Arabidopsis thaliana: one gene and its partner. The protein of the gene in region 1 interacts with the protein of each later gene in a pairwise test. Each region holds a gene or a part of one and is shown on either strand. Other genes may lie near its edges.

What was found.
Region 2: the proteins of AT5G66270 (region 1) and AT1G22490 interact in a two-hybrid assay, tested with the Arabidopsis thaliana proteins (one large-scale study listed by BioGRID).

The regions. Positions count from the first base shown.
Region 1 is NC_003076.8:26,472,332-26,477,768, reverse strand, and holds AT5G66270 (Zinc finger C-x8-C-x5-C-x3-H type family protein), read left to right. Parts: upstream 1-1,929; 5' UTR 1,930-2,202; coding exon 2,203-2,262; intron 2,263-2,804; coding exon 2,805-2,939; intron 2,940-3,028; coding exon 3,029-3,153; intron 3,154-3,232; coding exon 3,233-4,262; 3' UTR 4,263-4,683; downstream 4,684-5,437. Other genes in the region: AT5G66290 (uncharacterized protein), read left to right, coding at 138-473; GMD1 (GDP-D-mannose 4,6-dehydratase 1), read right to left, coding at 250-1,335.
Region 2 is NC_003070.9:7,937,981-7,942,439, forward strand, and holds AT1G22490 (basic helix-loop-helix (bHLH) DNA-binding superfamily protein), read right to left. Parts: upstream 2,646-4,459; 5' UTR 2,510-2,645; coding exon 2,072-2,509; intron 1,606-2,071; coding exon 1,063-1,605; 3' UTR 617-1,062; downstream 1-616.

The DNA of each region.
Region 1 (5,437 bases):
TTCATCTTTAGGCTTTTCGATTTGTACAATCGCTTGTGACCAGTAAGAAACCATTGTTCTGATAAGGGGAAAATTCATATGTAATAAATATGCTTTGTTTGCCTTTTGATACAAAATCCACAATGGACGATTGGCAGTGTATGGAGTTGAACAACTTGAAACAACGAAAGAGAACAACAACAAATGAAACAAAATTACATTTCAATGAAAAAGCAGATAATGATTACTCTTCTTTGCCACCTCCCCATATCAAGGTTGCTGCTGAGCGTCCATGTAACCAGCGTCGGCGAGCACTTTCTCCCTCTTGGCCAGCTCAAGGTCTTCGTCCACCATCATCTTCACCAGCTTCTCGAACCCTACTTTTGGCTTCCACCCCAACATTTCCTTTGCCTTGCTTGCGTCTCCTTTCAGATTGTCGACCTCCGTGGGCCGGAAGTACCTTTTGTCGATCTCGACATGGTCTTTCCAGTTGAGCCCCACGTACCCGAAAGACACGTCCAGAAACTCCTTGACGGTGTGTGATTCCTCAGTTGCAACCACATAGTCATCTGGTTTCTCCTGCTGCAGCATCAGCCACATTGCTTCCACGTAGTCTCCTGCGAAACCCCAGTCTCTTGAAGCCTGTATATTTCCCAGGAAGAGCTTGGTCTGCAATCCGACCTTGATCCTTCCCAAGGCCCGAGTGATTTTCCGAGTCACGAAGTTCTCGCCTCTGCGAGGTGACTCGTGGTTGAAGAGGATTCCGTTGCAGGCGTACAGACCGTAGGCCTCTCGGTAATTGACTGTGTACCAATGAGCAGCGCATTTGGACGCAGCGTAGGGAGATCTCGGATGGAAGGGCGTGGTCTCTGACTGCGGAGGAGGAGTTGACCCGAACATCTCCGAAGAGCCAGCCTGGTAGTACTTGATGGCGCGGCCATTGTCAATGTTGTGAGATCTGACAGCCTCCAGGAGACGAAGAGCTCCAGTAGCGACAACGTCAGCAGTGTAATCAGGGATCTCGAAGGAGACGGCAACGTGGGACTGAGCAGCAAGGTTGTAGACCTCGTCAGGCTTGATGACGTCGAGCCAACGGCGGAGGGAGGAGGCATCAGAGAGATCACCGTAGTGGAGCTTCATGAGAGCTTTGTTGACGTTGTGGGGATCAACGTAGATATGGTTGAGTCGCTGAGTGTTAAAATTGGAGGATCGTCGGATGAGGCCGTGAACTTCGTAGCCTTTCTCGAGCAGGAACTCGGTCAGGTAAGATCCATCTTGGCCAGTGATTCCGGTGACCAGTGCAATCTTCCTCGGCTTCACAATGTCGGAATCGCCATTGAGAGATCTGGAGGCCATTGATGGGTGGGTGCAGAGTCAGATCGGATCAGAAGAAATGATTGGGCACGTCGCGCTTTCTGTTTTTGATTTTAGCGTCAACTGATTCGATGACTTATATATAATAAAGCCCAAGGACGAAGAAGACAGAGAGAGAGGGTTACTTCTGTAAACTTTAAAGGTGAATCTGTATGGCTACGTAAAGTTGTACTTGTATGGCAAATCGCCGGCAAGCGTTGACCGATTACGAATATTTTACTATCTATTGGGCCAAGATGGGCTTTAAATTACTGCTAATTTTATTGGGCTTATATATATATATAGCTCTACGGGTTGCGTTCAGACTAAACATCATTGTGGACTTTAGTAATTTGCCTTAAGTTAACCCATTTAGTTATATTATACTCGGCCTTATAATAACCATTGATTTTTTTTTTTCCCCACACGATCTCAACTTGCATGTCCTATTTATTAGATTCAAAATTCAAAAATGAAAGCGTAAAAATAAAAAACACGTAACGTTAAAAGGAGTAATTGTGAATATTAAAAGAATATGAGTGGTGGAAATTAAATCGGTGAAAGTAATAAAAAAAACGATTAGGAATGGGAGCCAATCAGCGCCTCTCTATTTGATAGTATTTATTTTTCTCCACTGGGAAAGTCAAAAAGTCATAAAAAGTGTGGTTAGGGTTTTCTCTCTCTCTGTTCTATCTCTCCCACAGAACACAAAACGTATCGCCGACGCCTCTCTTCTTATTCATATCTGTCTTTCTCATTGTCGAGTTTGGTCTAACATCTGATTTCTCGTTTCGTATAGAATCTGAGAAAGTGGTTAGTGAATAGACTTTAGAAAGAGTTTGCGATTGAATTTTTGTAAGAGAAATAGTAATGATGAAGAAAACGAAGAAAGGGAGAGTATCGTGGGCATCAGATAGTATGCTTTGTCAGGTATAGCCAACCCGTCGTCTTCTTCGTCGACCCAATCTTGTTCCTTATTCTTCTCTTACCTGCAAATTTGTAATTGTTCGGTTCGGACTTACCAGTTATCAAAGTTGGAATCGGACAGTTAACAAACGAATTGATTTTGATTGATTGCTTTTGATTAATTATTCTTAATTTTAAATTTACACAAAGATAAAACCTTTTCCATAAGTCACCGTCAAAGCAACAAACTTTAATAAGATGACGTTTTTTTTTTTTTTTTTTCTGGTAATGGCGAATCTAATTAATTAATTTTGTGTGCCTGAATGTTGATGACTTGATGTTATGAAATCTTCTTTACATAGTAGGGACATAAACAGCAAGAAATCCCAAAAAAAAAGAAGAACAATGTACCAATGTGGTCACTAATTTTAGAAAGATTGTGTTCCTCCTGAAATAGTGAAACATGTAGGACTCCCCTTATATATATAACTCATGTAAAAAAAAGGACTTTGTGGCTGCTGAGTACACACGCATTTGGTTACTAACTAAGTAAAGGATTTGGACAGGTAAAGTTGTTTCTTAGTGATGATTGTCCCGTTAAAGTTGCATCGAATCTTCCACCTGGTTTTGAAGCTACTGATTATGCAACGAAGCGAATCATCTCACACATTCCTCGGATCAAATGGAAACGCCCACCATTGGTATAATTCTTTTCTTGAATTGCAAACAATGTGACCCTTCTTGTTTTTATATAACTCTCACTGTCTTTCTTTATTCGCCGCCAAAATAGTTTGTCCTCGATGATGCTTTGCTTGTTGGGAGTGGTGGAAAAAGCATCGAGACTCGTTCTGAGAATCTTAGGATTTCTAAAGTCTTGGAAGCTTTCTATCCACATCGCTCTGTGATCCCTTCTCGGTAATTTTATCATTTGAGGATTTGCTTTTGTGCCATGTCATGTTTTTCCACTTATCAAATTCTCTCTGTTTTCTTCTAGTCCTTCGCTCACACTAGCTGTTGAAGAAGAACACTATGACGACGGCAAAACTCCTAATATCCCTCTCACTCACGTTGAAGATGAACGTGACGCTGCTGCTGAATCTTCCCACAGTTTCGAAGCTCCTGCAGCTGTTTCTGGACTTGGACCAGAGTTAAGTCTTCTTGCTTCTGCAGCTTTGTCTGCCTTAACTAAGGAACAGGGCTCTCAGGTCGATCCTGATTTACTTGTCAAGTTACTCAGTGACCCCAAAATCGTTGAGAACTTGATCAATGGCATGAAAGGTAAACCACTTGAAACTGCAAATAACAGTCTAAACACTGACATCACCGAACCTAGACTTGCTCCTCAACATGTCACCTCCACAACCATGGACAGAAACCCACCTCCCATGCCTGGAAATGTTGCGCCACATAATGTACCTGTTTCGGTTCAGTCCAGTGCTACAGATCCTCCACTCCCCAAACCCAATCAGCCCATGTCCAGTGCTCTCTCAATGAACCTTACCCTCCAGAAACCCACCCCGGTTGTTCACAACTATCCATTGTCTTCTGGGATCAAAGTTGAGGATTCTTACACAGCTGCTCCCTTGAAACCAAGCACAGGGGATGATGTTGTAGTCTCAGAACAAAAGACCCAACTCCTTTTCCCTTGCAGCTCTTGGAATATGAATAAGGTACCGGAGTCAGCGCGAACTGAAACAGATCCTCAAATCCGTAATGGTAACACAAACCGGGATGATCAGGTTTCTGCAAAACCCGTGAAAGATCTAGACTACTTCAAGAACCTCATTAGGGAACATGGGGCAGTCAAACCGGCAACAACTGAAACTAACAATTACAAAGGAAGAGTTGATCATAAGAAAATCGTAAAGGTTAGGATTCAGAAACCGTGCATGTATTTTAACAGGCCCAAGGGGTGTCGGATGGGCGAGAGTTGCTTGTATCTTCACGACAGTTCTAAAAGGTTATGGACTGATGTTGCACCTCCTCACTTTCCCAGAGCTAAGAGACTCAAGTTTGGATCGTAATACAGCTACGATATGACTCAAAATTTAACACCAAGCATGTCTGAAATTATTGGTAAATAGCTTCATCCAAATTCTGATAACTTGTTTAACAAGTTTCCCAAAGTTAGTCAGTCATCCATGTTTTTTTTTTTTGGGTCCACCCGTTGCCGTAACATTTCTTTTGGCCATCTACAAGGTTATCATTTTAGTACTTGGACCAAGAGTTTTGAGAAGTTGGTCAATTTTGTTGCCGGAGAAAAAGACGGATTATTACAATCCATAAAATTAGTTAATGATATCACTGGAGTTCAATTTCTTTTTCTACCATAATTTTAAAAATGTATTGAAATTTTTAAATCTCTGGAATAACAACACCGAAGATATTAATTCCATTAAATAAAAAAGAAAGTGAAATTAGAAACAATGAAACATAACCGCTTAGTCTATTTTGTTGAATGTTGATTATGTCATTAATGAGTTGAACTAATCTAGCGAAAACAAAGACTTAGGGTAGTATAATCATTTGTATGAAAAAGGTACATTTGGTTATAATTGTATCATCTGTATGAAGAAGGACACAAAAAGCTCACATAAAGAACACCCGACATGTGATCCCTACACCTGTGCTCAACTAAAACTCAAAATTTCTTGTCTGTTCTATTTTGCTAAATAGTTATACCAATAATATAATTTTGTGATTGGTGTTACCAAATATATAAATGAATATATAATATATATAAAAGACTTCGAGTTTATCCAAAACTCGTTGTGTAATGTGGTTTAGGAATAACGATAAACTGAAACGGTTATGTCAAGTTTTTTCTTAACGCGATATGAATGATTGGATGGTGGTTTAAATAGTATATACTTTTAGTCAATATCAATTGTTAAGAACATTTTATCGTTGCTACACCAATTACGTCACCGCTCATACGATACCAATATTAATATCATGATGATATCATACTTTGGGAGCCAAGTGTCCGAAATTTTTGAGATGTAGAAGACGTTTACTTCTATAAATTATTGGTTAACAAATTAATCTGAAACTTAATCATATGATATGGAAAAAGTCTTGTCGTGTTTTTGTAGTGGTGCCTGGTCGTGAGTGGTGAGTCTGGTGACATCCCACCTCCAAGATTTGTTTAAACATATGTATAATGAAAATACAATTATATAACATTGTTGTTTTGTGA
Region 2 (4,459 bases), on another chromosome or scaffold:
AAAGAATTTGTTTGCATTCAAAGCCAAAGGTATAACCTCCACTATCGTAGGAGCATGCTAAAATTTAGTGATTAACGGATTAAAAGTTGAACCCACAAACTTTAAAAGTTCTAGAAAAAGACGAATTCATCTTTGAAGAAAATAAATTCAAAAATTAATCAATCATACTATTAATCATTATAATTATACACTAAACACAACCCTAAAAACACTGAGAAGTACATTAGGCGTAGGCCTAACGGCTATTAGCGCCCAATGTCACATACTTATCGACTTAAACCATTTTCTTTTATTCAATTTTTTTGTTCAGATCTTTATGACCATTGATTCATTACAAGAGACAAAAATGCAACTTACATAGGGAGGATTAGAGGAATAGTGAAAAAAAAAAAAAATTAGAAAACTGATTTCAGTTATTTCAAAATAAAATAAAAATAAAACAAGTTAATTATAATCTATTTGCTGAATTATGTCTCTTCTTGAATCCTCCTTATGGTTTGATTCAAAGCTGTTGCAATGTCGTCCACGGTATTCAGTTGGCTTCCTTCTTCAACCTGAACCAACACATTTTCTCTTAAGAAATAAAGATATACATAACAATTCTTGAAAAAAGTTGCAACAAACAAAATTAGAAGGATGTAGATAACTATAACAAAATATCTTTCTATTTGCTAAATATCTCCTGAAACAAATGGTGGACTCACTTCGTTGTCCGTACATATCTCATCTACAATTATGTGACCACCGAACATATATCCACAGTACATAAACATATACATAAACATATATAAATACACAACACCACGTATACAATTCGTGGATATAGATAGACACATATTCGTGTTTCGTTTCTTTAGGTTGGTCCCCTGATTCTTACAGGCACGATTAAGATACGCAATTTATTATTGACAAAAATAATAATCAAAATGATGATTATGAGTTTGACCCACAACTATTGAGGCCCCAGCCCTAAGTACCCAAAGGAGGTAAGAAAAAAACAAAGAGAATGATTTTAATTTTTCTTCACAACCTTTTTAAAGCCCAGGCATAACCACAATAGTACTAATCCAAAATTTCCCCCCAACAATAAGAGACAAAAAAATAAATCAACAAAGTGAAACCATATGCACCACACACACAGTCATTACTCACTTTAATCTCATGATTACCCCAAAAGCAAACAAAGTAATGATGAGAAGTTGAAAATGTACGTACCCTGACGCTGATGGAGTAGAGAATGGAGTTGTGGAGAGTGGTGACATTGAGATGAAGAAGAGTGAGCCTTAGGCTTTGTAAAGAAGTTATGAGCTTAAGAAGCTGCCTCGGTTTCTTCTTCGTCATTATCTTGATGTTCGCATGGCTTTCTGCCACCGTAACCTCTATCTCCGCCGGTGAAGATGAGCTTTCCGGTACATCTGATGATGACTTTGTAGAATATTGTGGGAAGCTGAAAAAATCTGTGAATGGACCCACTAACGAGCTAGTGCTAGTCTTGTCTCCTTTGGGATCATGAGTCCTAGTTCTCTTCGGCTCCATAGATTGTAAAATATGCTCTAACTCCTTCACGTAGTTTATAGCTCCTCCTACTATCGACGCTTGATCTCCCTTTACCACCAAAACCCGCTCATGTCAGATCATATAGTTATCATAAAGATTGAAAAAATCTTTGAATGTATAAATATACACACACACGTATCATTGCTAATTGCTTAAGTTTATTACGAAATTGTTCTAAAACATATCCCAATATTCTCAATCATACTCGTTCTAATTTTTGGTGACACATAATATTTTATTTTAAAAAATACATTAAAATATGTAACAGCAAAGATTATTAGTATGTATATAAACGCGTCACCCTTCCATATTTACGGTGGATTTTCTTGTTAATATATTGTATAAAAACATCAATATATATTCTCAGTCATTTTCATTCTATTCTTTTGTGTTAATATATTATGGAGAAATGAGTACTACAGCCAAGCAAGTAATAAAACAAAGACACATATACCTAAGAATGACCCTGACCAAATGATATATAGCATATATAAACATTGAATTAGTAAGTTACTCTTTGAGCATACGACGACGGCATTAGAGAACGGAGCACAGCCAGATACTCGTTCATCTGTTTCCGGCGATTTCTCTCGACGGCGATGTGAGTCATTCTCTGGTTCTCGATCTCTTCCTTGTTCTTGCAGTTTCTCGTTCTCCTCCTCTTCCTCCGGTGCTGTGGAGGAGGATGACTCTCCACATCAATGGCGGTAAGACCAAGCTCTTCTCCCAACGAAGGGATCAACAAAGGATACTGATGATAGTCTCGCCATTGATGATCGTCCTCCTTACCTTGTTCCACAAAGCTCTGTTCATGCCCTAACTTATCAATGTTGTTCTTCGTATCTTGAGCTACGAACTCTTCTTGAGAGTATAAGTCGTGGAACATAAAATCTTTGCAATTGGAGAGATATCCGAATGGATCTTGCGGGTATACGACAGCCTCTAAGGGCATTTTTTAGCCGGAGATTGTTGAAAAGAAAAATTCAGAATTATGGAAAAAATAAGAAAGATTGAGAAACCGAGAGAGGGAGAGAGAAGGAGAGAAAACAAAATTTAGACAGGAAGTGTTTGTCGCTCTCCTTTTTGTCTCGAGGGGGAAATAAAGGCAAAAGGGTTAAGCCCACTAAAGGAAACTAAGCATGGTATTAGTTATATGAAGATTTTTTGTAAATTGATTTACAAAATATTAAATTCTCAAGAACTCACCGGCATGGAGGAAGAATAGGAGAGTGAATCTTCAACAAAAATAAATATACAAAAGAAAGATATGAGAGTGAAAACCGAAATATGAGGATCAAACAAAGTGGTGTGATTTATTTAAAAAGGGAATTGAGAGAAGCTTTGTGAGGCTATTAATTTTTTTTTTTTTTTTTTTGATGCTCTCACAGTTGACCAAAAATAAATGCTCCCGCAGAGATCAAAAACGAAAAGAAAAATAAAACTAAAGAAAAGATGTATTTGTCACCAATATATATATAAAAAACACTGAAAAGGAGATATAAAGTGCACTTGTAATAATCATCCCAATTGTATTTAAATAACTTGTTCATAATAATTAGAGGTTAAGAAAATAAAGAAAAAAATTGTTCATAATGTTTTTAATATAAATTAGTTTTATTATATAGTAATTTTATTATTAAGATGTTAATTGTTTGGAACTATTCCTAAAAACCCATAATCTTTCTTAGTTCAAAATCAAATAAATAATAAATAATTTATTAAGAAATGGTAAAGCTGATATAGTGGGCAGTGAATTTATATTGACGTTCGAGTGAAAGAAAACTGGTGCTGGACTGCTGGTGGTGATCATAACCAGTTAAAACCTCTTTCGAGTTTTTCCGAATATGTATAGTGTAAGGATACACAGATGGTGATGGCTAAACTACTTAAAATTCTAAATATAGCAAAAAATTAATAGAAAAAACAATAGTTCGTTAGTACTAATATGTCATGTTGCGGATTACTTTAACCAAAAAAAAAGTTACGGACTACTTTAACAAATTTTTTTGTTGCGGATTAGCGTTTTCGCCAAAAAAAAATTAAGACGTGCAATTCTACGTCAGTCGGACAAGTGAGTGATACAATAAAACGAAAATGTGAAATTTTCAATTGGACCATAAAAATTCTAAAGCATTATATATATACAGTTACATGCTACTTGTAAACAAAGTTATTTGAGTTTCCAGTTAGGACGGTCTACGCCAATTAATTTTTAGTTCTACGCATTCACATCTGGTAACAATTTTTTTGGTTTGAAAATTAAAATTCTACCAGATATTACCTTAGAATATCTATCCAACTTCGTGGAATTAGATCCATTATCTATGGTTACTAATTACTATTTAGATACATAGATGCATATAGATAAATGTATACATTGCAGCGTCAAGTTTGCACGTGAGATAGTAGTAGACCAGTCCACAAGACCAAATAATCTGTTTGCAGGTTGGGGGTCGTCTAGTTACACTCATGTTCTATTATTTTACTTTAAACAAAAATATAATGTATTTCCATATCAAATATATGGTTAAGTATCCGATTAAAATTAAAAATCTTTAAAACAAATGTTTGTCAGAAAATACACAACCAATAGAAGATTTATTTTGGCCGGTGGGGATCACTTTATGTCAGGTTTTAACAAATTTGTTTCGTGATGTTATTAAAAATATATTTAAATCGAGATATTTACTTGCATGTTATAAAATGATGGTCTATTAAAAATCTTTTGTCACTACTTTTCAACATCAAAAACCAAAAAAGTTATGTATATAAATTAGGTGGCATCTTTTGATTATTCTGATCTAATCACTCTGGGAATATATAATAGTAGAAATCAATTTTGATATGAAAACAAAATTTAAAGAATTAGATAGATGTGACTAGGCTGCGTTTTGTAATCAAA